Linked DNA regions of Caenorhabditis elegans. The protein of the gene in region 1 purifies or fractionates together with the protein of each later gene. This does not show direct contact. Each region holds a gene or a part of one and is shown in the gene's direction. Other genes may lie near its edges.

Region 1 (6,246 bases):
ATTCAAAGAGCAGAACAAGTTTTCTTAAAATTTTTAGTTTATTCTACGTAAAAGAATTATAGTACAATTTAAAATTCAAAAAATCATCAATTATACGATAATCAAAGCATTTATGATCTAAAAAAAAACATCAAGAAATCAATAATAATACACAAAATAATACTAATGATATTAATAAGAGCAAAATGGTTTCGGTGTGGATATTCAAAAAAATTCACTTATTCTGAAAATAAAGAAATTTGGCAAACTTCAGAATATCGTTTCTTGGGTTCTTGTGATAAGACTATAAAATTAAAATTTCTCAAATAAATTATCAAACAGCAAGGTTAGAATTTACCAATACAGAAGTTTGCTGTTTCACAATAAATTTCGACCAAAATTTAGTTTTTCAAATCAAACATCAAGCATCACAATTCTTTCTTAAAATTTCAAAATAGACTCAATGTCATTACCGAACTCTCTTTCCGAGAAGTTTGTAAACTCTGACCCGTATCAATGTGTGTTCTATTTCCATCCATGTTCCATTGCTCTTTGCTCAATATCATGTACCTCAATGTGTGTACGCGTGTTTATTTGCAGACCATACCACTATAATTTCTAACAATCCATGCTAACTTGAAACGTCAAGAATTGCGTGTTCCAAAAATGGTTGCCATCTGTGATGTCGAACAAACATTGCCAGGCATCTTATTGCCTCCCCTCGTTTCAAGCTCTGTGTACACAGTACAAATAAATATTCCAGTTTTGATTAATTCTCACCTCCCCCTTCTCCTCCCGAATCTACCTACCAACTTACTAGCCTACCTTAGTAACTTTACTCGACCTCATTTTTCTTTTATAACTGATAGGTTTTCATCATTTTTCCATTACTGAGTCAAAGCGTTCTGTCTAGCTAGTAATAATTGGTTAGGCACTGGTATGTAGTACTTTGCTCAATTTGAAAACACTTTTCGGAGTTGAGAGTTGTCGGAGAAACAACAGTTTTCACGTTTTTTGGGTAAAGAACCTTCACAAAAGCGTTTCTCAAACAATGATTACGGTAGTACACTAGTCACACTTCCGGTCAGTATTCAATATTCAATTAGGCAAAAGAGCAACAACTACAAGTCATAGGTTTACATGAACTTTTCAACTGCTTATTATTTCACTTTTTTCCTATTATTTACCAAGCATATTATATAATGATCCATTTTCTCTGCTCTCCACTTCTTGCTCTCTGTCCACTCGAAAACTTGTGAACGTTTTAGGTTCCGTGTCGTTTTTATTTTGCAGTAAGATAAACTGATAACTTTTTGGCTGATCATTGTGACTAATCAAACCGGTCGACCAGTTAAAAATAGTTACAGTTACAGACGGTAACTAGTTGTTCCGTTTCACAAAAAAAAACCTGGCGGAATTAATTTTGCTCAACTTTCTCTGTGCCTCCCAGCAAATTGATAAATTTTCATTTCTTCCGAGTATTTCCTTAAATTATCGAGCAACTGGAAACATTTCGTTTTGCCACAAAATTAAGAAAAATTAAATAGTTATTTTCTAGCGGCGTCTCCCGTTTTTTGAAATATCTAGTAAATGCTCAACGTTAACAACATAAGATTTCTGAAATATTCGGTGCTAGCTTAATAACCGGATTTCTGAGACGTTGACACTAGAGGTCGAGCACCGCAAAATACCTACTTGAACCTTGTCTACTTATGAAAACTGATCCTTACTGTCTAAAAAGTTTTGTAAGACTGTGTTCTCATAATTTTGTGTTTCAGATATGTTGATGGTCGATGAGCAACTAAAAATAGGGGCGACGCCAATGTACAGCCCAAGTCACAATCGTAAGTTGATTTTGTATTTTTGGATTTTTTGATATTATTATGGGTTTTTGTAAGAAAAAAGTTCAAAACTTTTTCGTTAATTCTTTTCAGGTCTGAATCACTTAATGTTAAATAGAAAATTGTAGTAGCAACAGTGTTTCGACTAGCGGTTTAGAAGATTTGAATGCACCTTTTAAATATAGATTTAAAAACCACGCATTATGGTTCATATAGTCAATATTAATTAAGTCGATAATGTGCAAAAACTAAATTATTTAAGCCAGTCTCTGAATACAGATTATTTTATGTGAATCACTATGTCTTCTTTGAACATACAAAGCAAATACCAAGGACTTATTTTTGCCCTTATTATCCTGTCAAATACAAAGTACTACTTGTTGTGAGATGGGCTGTACAGAGTTTCTCCTGGACCTATGTTCAAACATATCAGTATTATGCCTTCAGCTATTGTGATAGCAGATGATATGGAGAAGGGTGGAAGCGACAGCGATAGTCTACCATCATCACCCACACATCATCATGAACTCTACCGACGACCTTGGATTCATGAGCCAAGAGCCACGTAAGTCTAGTTAACTCATTCTTGTTCAATTGTTTACTATTTAATATGATTTCAGTAACTTCTTTGTGCGCCTCATAACCAGTTTATATGCACTAATCTTAACTATAATATCATTGGTGGTTGAAGTCTCACCGACATGGAGAACCGATATGTGGCTTGCTGAAACGGTTAGGAGTGAAACAATGAAATGAAATGAAATTTTCAATGCGATCATTTTAGATCTTCTACATATCAATGTATGGAGTTGGCATTCTGTTTTTCGCGTACTGCTATATATTTATAATTTATCCCGGGCCGTATAATCAATTAATATCAGTGCTCAGAAAATATAAAATTATCAAAAACTCAGAGGTAACGGATAATTTTAATAAAAGTTCATTGAGAAACTGAAAAATCTGCAGGTCTGGTTCATAATGCAAAGCCAACACAATGGAGAAGGAGCTGGCACATTGTACTTACGACTGGGTGCTCTTTGTAAGTGGGACATACAAGAAATAGATTAAAATAAAACATTTCAGTTTTCGGAAGCGTTGGAATTGTTCTATTCGGATTGGAGCTGTTTCTGTGTATTGAAAATGTTGCATGCAAAAAAGTTGCGATTGCGAAAATGATTGTGGCAATAGTATTCACCTTTATTCAAATGCATTTCATTTTTTGCAATTCCAAGGTGATCTATTCTTTATGTGCTGTAGAAAAAAAGGAATTTCAGATAACTGTAAACAGTTCTCGTAAAATTGTTGCGTTTGGTATGATGCACCTGATATCGGTGAATTTATGGACATGGTTTCGATTTGTGCTGGCTAAACAAGTTTGATTTTTTAAAAATAACTTTTTACTGCAAATTAGAGTATCATTATAATTAAAATTCATAATTTCAAAAAAAAAATTGTAAAAAGATTGGTTTTTGCCGTAAATATTTTAGTCGCAATGCTTGTAAATTTATTTATTGTTCTTTGTTTAAAGGTGGATAGCGTCTGTGGGGATTTTGTCTTACAATTTTGTCTCTGTTAATACACTTATTAAGATCCAAGGCGATTGAATATATCATCATAAAACACTATTAAAACTTTTAGATTTTTGATATTTCCAGTTAAACTATTGGCGAATTGGCAACTTTTTTGATAATACTAGTTTTTGAGGAAATCCAGAGCATTGTCGCATATTCCAATCATTACAATGTAGACGTAGTTGATTAAAACGAAATTAAAGTTTGAAAATAATAGAAACCCCTTTTTTTTGATGAAGTTCAAAATTATTTGTGACAAAAATTTTCAATTTTTTTTTTTGAAAAATTCAGTCATTTGGCATTATTTTGAGTGGTTTTAAACATGAAAACCACTAGCGCAACTCCACCTTTGATTGCTTAGACAATTTGTATATATATATATATATATTATGCTTAAAAACAAAAAATAGTTTTATTCATATTCAAAGTTTTTTCTTTACTGAAAAATTAAAGAAGGCTTGCGAGTACACAAAAATATTTTTCTAGATGCAGCTCTATTTTTTAAATCAAAACAAATGGTGTTATGTTTCAGGAAGCTAAAGCCCACAAAAAAGCGCAACTTAAACAGACATTTCGAAAGTACTATTCCTCATCCTCGTCATCATCTTCCGAAGAGATTCACGAGTTGATAAGCGCAGTTCTTAACTCAACGGTAAGTACTCTGCAGTATCATAGGTCATTCACTTTTTCTTCTCTCAGCTCAACAACACTCCGGCGACAAAGACGATGGAGCCAGTGGCCAGCAGATTGTTTGCTCTCGAGCACTTCGGAGATGTTGCCACATTTTTGACCACTTGCATTGTGGAGTGAGTTAACTCTAAGAGAACTAAACAAAAAAGTGATGATGATGGGTTTTTTTTTTCAAGGTACTCGTTAATTGGTGCTGCAATCATGTTTATTTTGTGGAAGTCAATAGGTCAAAACAATCATCAACAGAGTAACAGTGGGAAGCGAAAAGTGAAAATGAGGATTGATTGCAGGTAAAATTTCAGAGAATAAAAAAAATAAGAAAATATAAATAAATTAAAAACGCTAACGCTCAATACATTTTTATTAGCAATGAAATATACATTATGTCACAAAAATGAACTGAGCATCATATTTTTCCTTATTGAAAAGTATATTATTATAAGCTAGTGTAGACTTGGAGCCGTCGAAACTTGTATTAGATTTTTTTGATCTCATTGGGCATTATCCTATTTTTTTCCAGCTCTTCATCTACAGGCTTATTTGCTGGAATCATATTCCTTATTGGCTCTTTGGTCTCCATGGGAATGTACACAATATTCGAATCATTGCGAAACAGCTCTGGGGCTCAATTAGTATTTGGTATTGTGGATTTGTCACTCTTTTCAATTGCCCTTGGCGCATGTATCATTGGTCTATGGAGGTTTACAGAGTACACTAAAACTATTAGTACTAATCCATTATATTTTAGAATGCGACATCTTCAGTACCGTCTACATGCTCACGGGGAAGTAATTGATGAGATTTTGCTGATAATTGGTTTGATTGGAGAAATTTTGTACTGTGCAGTTGGAATCGATGTATTCATAACTTGTCGCAGATCTGCTGATCTCACTGTTAGCGCATTGCCGGCGTTTGTTTTTGTGATTCGAATGATTCAAGTTGTGGTTCAAGCCGCTTTCATACTCACTACTTCAAGGTAGGGACATGGAAAAGCGTGCAAAACATATTTTCGTGTAAATACAATGTTTCCATCACTGCATATGATGAGACTTCCGAGTTTTTAATTTTTTATCAAAATATTCATCAAAATTTCAGACTTCGCTGTCTTTCCAAATACTCGATGAAATATAAACCTGGAAAGGAAATCATAACATTTTTACTCGTCTCCAATGTTACATTATTCGTCTTCCACACTTTTGAAGGCATGAAATCAAGTTTCGGGTTTTCTAGCAAAGCAGCTACTCAATATAATTACATTATTTACGCAGTGGGACCATTGCTGGTTTTCTATAGGTAAATCTTAATTAGCTTTTATTTAAAATTTTCTAGTTGTTGATTAATTATTTTGTTACAGATTCCATAGTTCAGCATGTCTTGCCGAGATATGGAAGCACACATACAGCACAAAAAGCAACGAATACGATCATGAACACATGTCCCTTTCTGATAGTAACTTAACCGCAATCACCCCAATTTCTGATATCAAGGAGATTCCATCTCCACAATTATTGAAACATTGAATTTCTACTACTTGTATATTATATTCATTTCGTATGCAATGCTAAATTAGACCCAATTCTCATATCACTCAGATCTTCCACAGTTACTTGTTCATTTAATTTTGATATTTTTCACTCACCAAGCGGGATTTTTTTTGTACCACTAGTTTTTTATGTTCGTTCGGGACAATAAATTTTTTCTCAATTTGAAATAATGTATAGTCTTTATGATTCAACTAATGAAGAACATCAATAAATTATCAATAAGTCATATAGATGGTCTAGGCATCTATGCATCTAGGTAGGGTTATTGTTATCTCAGAACAGAGACTAGTGAAATCATTATCACAAAAAATCTTTGAAAAATCTTTGCATAAGTAATTTCTAAGATTAATTGTAATTTATAATAACTTAAAGTTGTGTTCTCGGTTATAAAAGTTCTAACTAGACTATTCTGATAAATGTGGAGTCAGAATACCAAAACCTAAAAATTTTAAACAAGTCATGTCCTTTCACACTGAATTTTTGTGTAACGTGATCCTCAAAACCTCTCAATCTAAAACATGAAACTTTCATTCGCAAAAAAAAATAAATAGAGAAAATAATATTAATGCACATATAAATAAAAATAAATAAACATCTATCAATAATACACATTATAATTTT
Region 2 (7,791 bases), on another chromosome or scaffold:
AATAATTTTTAAGATGAAGAGGTTATTGGGAAAAGCGAACTAACTCGTTGATATTCGTCCAGGAATTTCGTATTGTTACTGATATGGCGAATCTTTTTTCCGACATCCTGAAAATTAGAAGCTTTTAATTTCTTTCAGTTTTCAAGATCAATTCGATTGTTCTTACCTTTGCCTCGTCTAAAATTCGTCTTTCATCTGAATTTCCTTGTACATGATCTTGAAGAGCTGCAAGGGCATGACGATTGACAACCTGAACTAATAAAATATTTTTCAAAAATTTAATTCGAACAACTTTTTGTTTATCCTTTCTCTCAAATGGTCGAAAATATTCATAAATGTCATCTAATGTTTCTGCATTTACACGAGAAGTAACAACATGATCAGCAACAAATTCAGCGGCTTGCTTTCTGAATGAATGTTTTAGACTAATCATTAAAAACATGAATTCTACTTTTGTGCTGGTGAACTTGAATCGGAAAGTAGCTCTTGGCGGAATCGAAGATATTCTAGCGCTTCTTTGAACATCAATTTATCTTTCGGAATTCTTTCAACGGGCGGCTCGTAGAACCCATATTCCCAGATGGGATCATTCCGATGGAGAAATTCCGATTCACGAGTGGGAAGATCTCTGAATTTTATTTTTATAAAAATCAAATGCAATTTGAAACTAAACTCACTTCGTAGATGTCCATCTTTCAACTGGATCAGTTGATTTGATGTACATTTTATTCATATTTTCCACCAAACTTTCATTTTTCATCGCTAATTCTTTTTTGATTTCTTCGCTAACTTCTCGTGATTTTTCAGTTGGATATTTTGGTGGGACGACCTGAAAATTTAGAAGTTATTAAGTTAATATTTTAAAAATTATTTTTGTACTCTTACTTTTGTTTCCCCTTTTTCAATTTTCGCTACTTCTTCTACAGACTTTTTGAGATAATTCGCATTCTTCACACCAGACCCAACCTTTTTCCAAAGTCGTTTCATCTGAAAATTGTAATGACAGCAGAGAGTTTCGTCCAGAAGTGAATAGGGAAATTAATAAAAAGGATCGCAAAAATTCGGGGTACGGTACTTCTTTAAAGGTACAGCACCCGAATTTATTTTTGGGTTTCGCAACGAGTTTCGTCATGCAACTTTTATCGATTTTTTTCGCAGAATTAGCGACACGTTTTCTTATTTCTAATCCAGAAATTTCTTATTTAATTTAACCAAAATTTTGCATCATGGAGGAAATATGTGTTTTTAATATAATGCTTCAAATTCTTTACTCAAAGTTCTTTGCGAAAAAATGATTATTAGTTTTAATCCGTTTCACTGACTGAAATTTATGAACCCAAAGTGTTTAACACCCGAAATTTATTAAATTTGAAATAAATATATTTTATAAATAGAAACAAAAATAAGCAATGACGCTCCACCGCAATAGCTGCCACCGATCAATAATTGAAAGTTAGTCACTCACTGCTTCTTGGGCTACGTTGGCTACTCGCCTGCTCGTTTCTCTGCGACACTTCACTTTTTATGCTCTCTCGCTTCTCGGACAAATATCTTTTTTCTGCAAGACTAGGAACAGACATTTCGATGGCTCATTATTGGTTCCAAAAGCTTTCTATTTTAAATTCAATTTAAACCAATGTTTTTAAATTTTAATTCTATCTAGTTCGAAGTTCTTGGTTTTCTTCTTATTTTTAAACGTTATCGTTATCATGAGATCTCTTTTCTGTTGTTCTCGTTAACTGAAACAGTCAATAATCTATTTTTATTGGTTCAGCCCAAAAATGACAGCAGACGCCAATAAAAGCGAATCACTGTTGTGTATGGATAAAGCTCGAGAGGCTATTAAAGTGAGTTTTGTGATTGTTCAGCATTTCAGTTAATAAATTATGTATTTTAGTCTGGTGACACCGATAAAGCAAGGAGAATGCTGTTGAAGGCGAAAAAGTTGGATCCTGGTCAAAATATTGAATGTAAGATTTCTTTTCAGATGTAGAGCAGCGTGAATGTGAGATTTTGCTTTAAAATGCTAAAAATAGACTGAACATCAGAAATATAAAATAACAAGAACGAAAAAATCGCGAAAGTATGAAAAATCTAACTATTAAAAATTAGATTTTTCAATTTTCGCTAAAACCAATATGGATTTATCCTTTCACACTTTTTTTCGTTTCTTTTTTGTGGTATTTCCGAATTTCAGACTGTTTTGAGTATTTTCCCCTTTTCCGCTGCTCCATCTTTAAATTTCTGCACAAACTCTGTAACTTGAAAGATTTGAAAGTTGATGCACATGCCCGTATTCTGAAAAAATCTGTGTTTATTTAATTTTCCATGCAAAAAAATTGAAATCAATTTCCAATTTCCGTTCACACAAACGTCTGTTTTTCGTTTCTTCGGCAAAAAAAACCGAAGTGAAACCAAAATGACCATTACGAAGAGATACAAGATACATCATTGAAGGACCCGTTTATTACAACCCACTTGGTGAGAGAAACGATTTCTTTCACTCTCTACGCCTATCAAAAATAAGAAAAAGCAGGAACCTTTGTGCAAGAAACGTTGAGACGTGAGACATGTAATTTGAGAGTTTTGTTCTTACTCAACAGTTGTAAAGGTTATAGATAAACTTTGAAAAATCTTGAAAAAAGTCGCTGAAAATTTAATTAAAATAATTTTAAAAAAAAACACTATTTTCAGTTCTAACGAAAAAGATAGATGATATGACAAACAACACATCATCATCTTCCCAAACATCTTCATCACGTGCTTCAGAAGAACGTAGTTATGCTCACGACGATCACTATGATGACCCAAACTTAAGGAATCGAAAAGCTAGAAGTCCTGTAAAAAAGAATGGAAAAACAGAACCAGAACCAAAACAACGATCTGCATCAAGAACACCTAAACTTGGCGTTGATTATACCAGTGAACAAAAAGAATTGGTCGAGAGAATTCGTCATTGCAAGGATTATTACGAAATTCTTAAAATTGACAAGAAGGCGAGCGATGATGATATTCGTAAAGAATATCGAAAATTGGCGTTGAAGTTACATCCGGACAAGTGTAGAGCTCCACACGCTACGGAGGCGTTCAAGGGTAATTTTTTACAGTTTTAATTTGAAAATTATAAAAGACCGAATTATTTTTGAATTCCCGCTCAAATTAATGGCCTAGTTTTGACATTTTTGGTTTTCCGGTTTAATTAATTGCTGATCTTCTTTCTTGTGGTTCACATTAAAACAACGCTAGTGATAATTTTAATTAATGTTAAAATATTGATTTTATGGCCAATTTTTGAGTTTCTGCGAATTTTTACGTTTCCTTATGTTACAAATCATGAAACAAAGAGATATAAAATAATACAGCCGAAAATGCAAAATTTTCTGCAAAGTTAATAAAATTGAAAAATGTTTTAAATTTTTAAAAAATCAAATTTGGTATTCTGGGACCATTTTCCGCGATTTCGGGCAAAAAATCACCCTGAACTATAATTTATCTATCTTATGCCATCTTTCAATAAAATTTTTCTATAAATATTTTTTGATACTTTTCCATCGAAAAAAAACTTAAACGAATTTAAATCGTTTTTTTAAAAAGAAATCTCGTTAAAAATTGTTTAATTGTTTTTCAGCTCTTGGAAATGCGTACGCAGTGCTTTCTGATACTGATAAACGCCGACAATACGATCAATATGGAGCTGAAGCAGCGAATTCACACACTCCGACAACAAGAAGACGTGGTGGAGGACATGGTGCATTCTTTGAACATGATTATGCACATGGATTCGAGGGTTAGCTACTTTAAACATTTTTAGACAAACTGCTTCATCAGCAGTCTGAATTAATTTGAGATATTCTCCTATGTCAATTGCTCAACAATTTAAAAATCAACTAAATTTATTAGATTGTGATAAAATAACAATTAATCTTTTTTTTTATTGCAGCCGAATTCACACCAGAAGAGATTTTCAACATGTTCTTCGGAGGCGGATTCCCTACCGAACAAGTTCGCCGACGTGCTCGATATGCTCAACAGCAACAGTATCATCATTATGAACAACAGCAAAGTCCATATGGACCACTTCTTCAATTATTGCCACTTATCGCCATTATGGTCATTGGATTGTTAGCCCAGTTGATGGTTGGAGAACCTGCGTATTCACTTCATCAAACTTCGTTAGTTTTTACTTTTTTTGAAACTGGAAAAAGTGAATAGTAAAATGCCTGTCAATTTTGTTACGTACATTAAGGCATTCAAATCAGGTGCAATCATGTATTGCGCAGATGCGAATTTTTGCGATTCCAAAATTACTGTACCCGGTCTCGACACGAAAAGCGCTTTTAACGAGTATTGTAATTCAAAACTTTGGTCCCTGCGGAATTTTTATCGATTTTTCAAATTAAAAAAATTTATATGCACTTATGAAATGAAAAAAAAAACGTATAAATTTAAGAGATCGTGAGAAAAACTATGAAAAATCGATGAAAATATTACAGCAACGAAAGTTTAAAATTACAGTACTTTTTTGTTTTTGCATTTAACAAATAATTGTCGTGTCGAGACCGGGAGTTTTGGCGCAAACTTTCGCGTTTGGGTAATATGTAAAAAAAGAAAAAGTACACTTTAATCAGCATTGAAAAATTAATCTTGAAACAAGTATTTTTCAATAGCCTTTTGGTCAGTATGATAATTTCAAATAAATTTTTCACAAAAAGAAACCTTTGGAAAAACTGGAATTTTTAGTTGTGTTTTATATTTAAGTATATATTCATCGCGAAATTTTCCAATTTTAAAAAAATTCCAAGTTCCGTTACCAAAATTACAATTTCCACATTAACAGTACTACAGTGCGTGCAACTTCTATAGCGCCCCCTATTTTTTTCGTGTTTCGTCACTTTCCCAAACTTTTTTGAGAAAACCATTATAGCCATTCGATTTCAAATGTCAAAAAACCCCCTGTCCGAAGTTTTCATGAAAAAATATCAAAGACTACGGTAATTAGGTCAAAAAGTCTGAAAAACGACCGTGCAACTTCTATAGCGCTCCCTCAAATTTTCGCTATTTTTCAATAAAATACCTAGTTTTATGAGATTTCTGAAAAGGATATAGTATTATATATTAAGAAAAATGATCATAAGGTCTCATTTTTCAATTTTCAACAGAAATATATTACGTGAAAACTTCTGGGATCCCAAGAGTGGCCTGAAACGCTTCACTTTGTGGCCAGTTCTCGGCACCCACTGCATGTATTGATACGAAACTTGAACTAATCATTTAATTTTGTTCACTAAAGATATTTTGAAAGGTTGATATTAAATTCGGTGGAGATAGGTAAGGTAGATAGCGCTGCATGTATTGACTGCATGTATTGATACGAAACTTGACCGAAATTTTCATTTTGATTTACTGATAATGTTTCAATAAGTTGTCATAAAATTTGGTCAATATGGGCCAGGTTGACAGCCCAAGTTAATAGTAAGGCTAGTAACCAATCAGTTGTTCTATCGAGAGGCATGTCAGAGAATGGATGTGCGTCTTTTCTGGTTGACAAGATATCCATTCAATTAACTATTTAAAACAAATTTTGTCCGGATCGAAAAATGTTGGAAAATGATCGGTAAAATTCGAGAAATATCCCTCAAACAAATTAACAGGTGCAGAAACACTGGGCGGGTCTCTTTCCCGTGGTTCCGCGCGTTTCATTCGGGATCGAACGACAAAAGAACTGTCGAAGTGTTCAGAGGGGTCACAGAACTTGCATCCGAACTTAATATTTCAAAGTGTTTGTTAAAAACTAAAAATTCACCCAAAAACCTGCGGGCAGTGAACTCGCCCAGTTTTGATGTATGTGCAAATTTTTTAAAGGAGATCTCCTGTATTGGACCAATCATTTTTCAAAAGTTTGTTGTTCGAATAACACTTATAAAAATTTCAACAATGAATATGAAGCTTTTCTACCAGAAATGAACCGCGTCCAATCTCTGGCACGTCGCAAAAATCTGTTCTAGAGAGAAAAACTTATTTCCTCACAATGAGCAGCGCTATCTACCTTACCTATCTCCACCGAATTTAATATCAACCTTTCAAAATATCTTTAGTGAACAAAATTAAATGATTAGTTCAAGTTTCGTATCAATACATGCAGTGGGTGCCGAGAACTGGCCACAAAGTGAAGCGTTTCAGGCCACTCTTGGGATCCCAGAAGTTTTCACGTAATATATTTCTGTTGAAAATTGAAAAATGAGACCTTATGATCATTTTTCTTAATATATAATACTATATCCTTTTCAGAAATCTCATAAAACTAGGTATTTTATTGAAAAATAGCGAAAATTTGAGGGAGCGCTATAGAAGTTGCACGGTCGTTTTTCAGACTTTTTGACCTAATTACCGTAGTCTTTGATATTTTTTCATGAAAACTTCGGACAGGGGGTTTTTTGACATTTGAAATCGAATGGCTATAATGGTTTTCTCAAAAAAGTTTGGGAAAGTGACGAAACACGAAAAAAATAGGGGGCGCTATAGAAGTTGCACGCACTGTACTTCTTTGAATACTTTTCTAAAATATCAATTTTCAGAAAATTCACAATAAAACGACTGACAGCAGATTTACGAGTTCCATATTTTGTACGAACGGACTTTGAGACCTCGTATCGAGGACGAATCCGACAAGTTGAGCAACAAGTGGAAGATGATTATATTCAGAATTTACGGATGAATTGTTATAAAGAACAAAATCTAAGTGAGTTGTTCAATTATTTCAATTTTATTTGAAAAAAATACTTATTTAAAACAAATTATTTTCAAAGGTGTGCTTGTGGAACGAAATTTGAAATTAAATTAAATTTCGTCCATTTCAATTTAACGTGATGTATATTTTTCCTTAAATAAAATGTTCACCGCTCTAAAAATTCATTTAAAATACTTTTATATATCAAAAAATAAGCATAAAACTTTTCCAGAAGAAACAAAACTTTATCGAGCTCGTTGGATGCGTGACGAAGCAATGATGCGTGATGCAGAACGAACACCTCTTCCAAGTTGTATTCGTCTCAATGAAATTTATTCTCATTGATTTCACCCAGTTGATCTGTTTTCATATAATATTCAAATTGTCTGGAAATGCCGGTGTATCACTTCCTCCTCTTTTCCTCATCTCCTCCATTCAAGACTTTTATTAGGCCTCCTACCCCTTTCTTAAATTTTTCGGAAAAGAGATAATGGTTCAATTCTCCTCCACAAAAAACACTTGTATACGGGACAATATCGTTTACTTTTTGCTCGTGCCTCTTTCTTTTTTTTAATTATTACTTCATGTTGTTTTCTTAACGTTCCTCGAAAATGGCTCAGCTAAAGAGTTCTGTGATTTGTGTGCTCCAGTCAGAAGATTTCCACGTTTTCTTTTATTTTTATTGCTCCCCAATATATTCTTCTACTCGTTTTTTGTATTCTTGTCGTAAAACCATGATTAGTGATTTATTTTCTTTGAATAATAAAATTGCCAAAGATTTCCAAGTGCCTTGGCGAAGATATTCATTGGTAAATCATTTATTCAAAAAGAAAATTGTGATGTCAGTTACATCCGGCTTCTCCCCACTGGGAAACGTCTTTGGTGAAATAAGTGAGATGATCAGAAACAGATGCAGTAATCAAAAGTCCATTGGAACAATCATTCGATTCATCGGAAGATGAGCAAACTTTGAAAGAAGCTCCAGCATTCATTGATTCTTTGTAGAAAACCTAAATTCAAATTTCTAATCCTTTCAGACTAATATTATTTCTTTCAAACCTCTG

Evidence for each region. The genes of interacting proteins can lie anywhere in the genome.
Region 2: the proteins of otpl-8 (region 1) and dnj-1 fractionate together in Caenorhabditis elegans (co-fractionation; one large-scale study listed by BioGRID). This does not show direct contact.

The regions. Positions count from the first base shown.
Region 1 is NC_003284.9:12,266,453-12,272,698, reverse strand, and holds otpl-8 (Otopetrin-2), read left to right. Parts: upstream 1-1,757; 5' UTR 1,758-1,759; coding exon 1,760-1,823; intron 1,824-2,267; coding exon 2,268-2,385; intron 2,386-2,440; coding exon 2,441-2,552; intron 2,553-2,604; coding exon 2,605-2,736; intron 2,737-2,786; coding exon 2,787-2,859; intron 2,860-2,903; coding exon 2,904-3,052; intron 3,053-3,094; coding exon 3,095-3,193; intron 3,194-3,923; coding exon 3,924-4,043; intron 4,044-4,090; coding exon 4,091-4,197; intron 4,198-4,257; coding exon 4,258-4,371; intron 4,372-4,601; coding exon 4,602-4,781; intron 4,782-4,829; coding exon 4,830-5,057; intron 5,058-5,176; coding exon 5,177-5,374; intron 5,375-5,435; coding exon 5,436-5,601; 3' UTR 5,602-5,746; downstream 5,747-6,246.
Region 2 is NC_003282.8:11,297,262-11,305,052, forward strand, and holds dnj-1 (DnaJ homolog subfamily B member 1), read left to right. Parts: upstream 1-1,774; 5' UTR 1,775-1,781; coding exon 1,782-1,847; intron 1,848-1,897; coding exon 1,898-1,970; intron 1,971-2,694; coding exon 2,695-3,093; intron 3,094-3,628; coding exon 3,629-3,787; intron 3,788-3,940; coding exon 3,941-4,172; intron 4,173-6,575; coding exon 6,576-6,739; intron 6,740-6,959; coding exon 6,960-7,072; 3' UTR 7,073-7,528; downstream 7,529-7,791. Other genes in the region: B0035.15 (uncharacterized protein), read right to left, coding at 45-107, 167-250, 293-407, 452-628, 678-829, 886-987; B0035.13 (Fungal lipase-type domain-containing protein), read right to left, coding at 7,570-7,737, 7,787-7,791.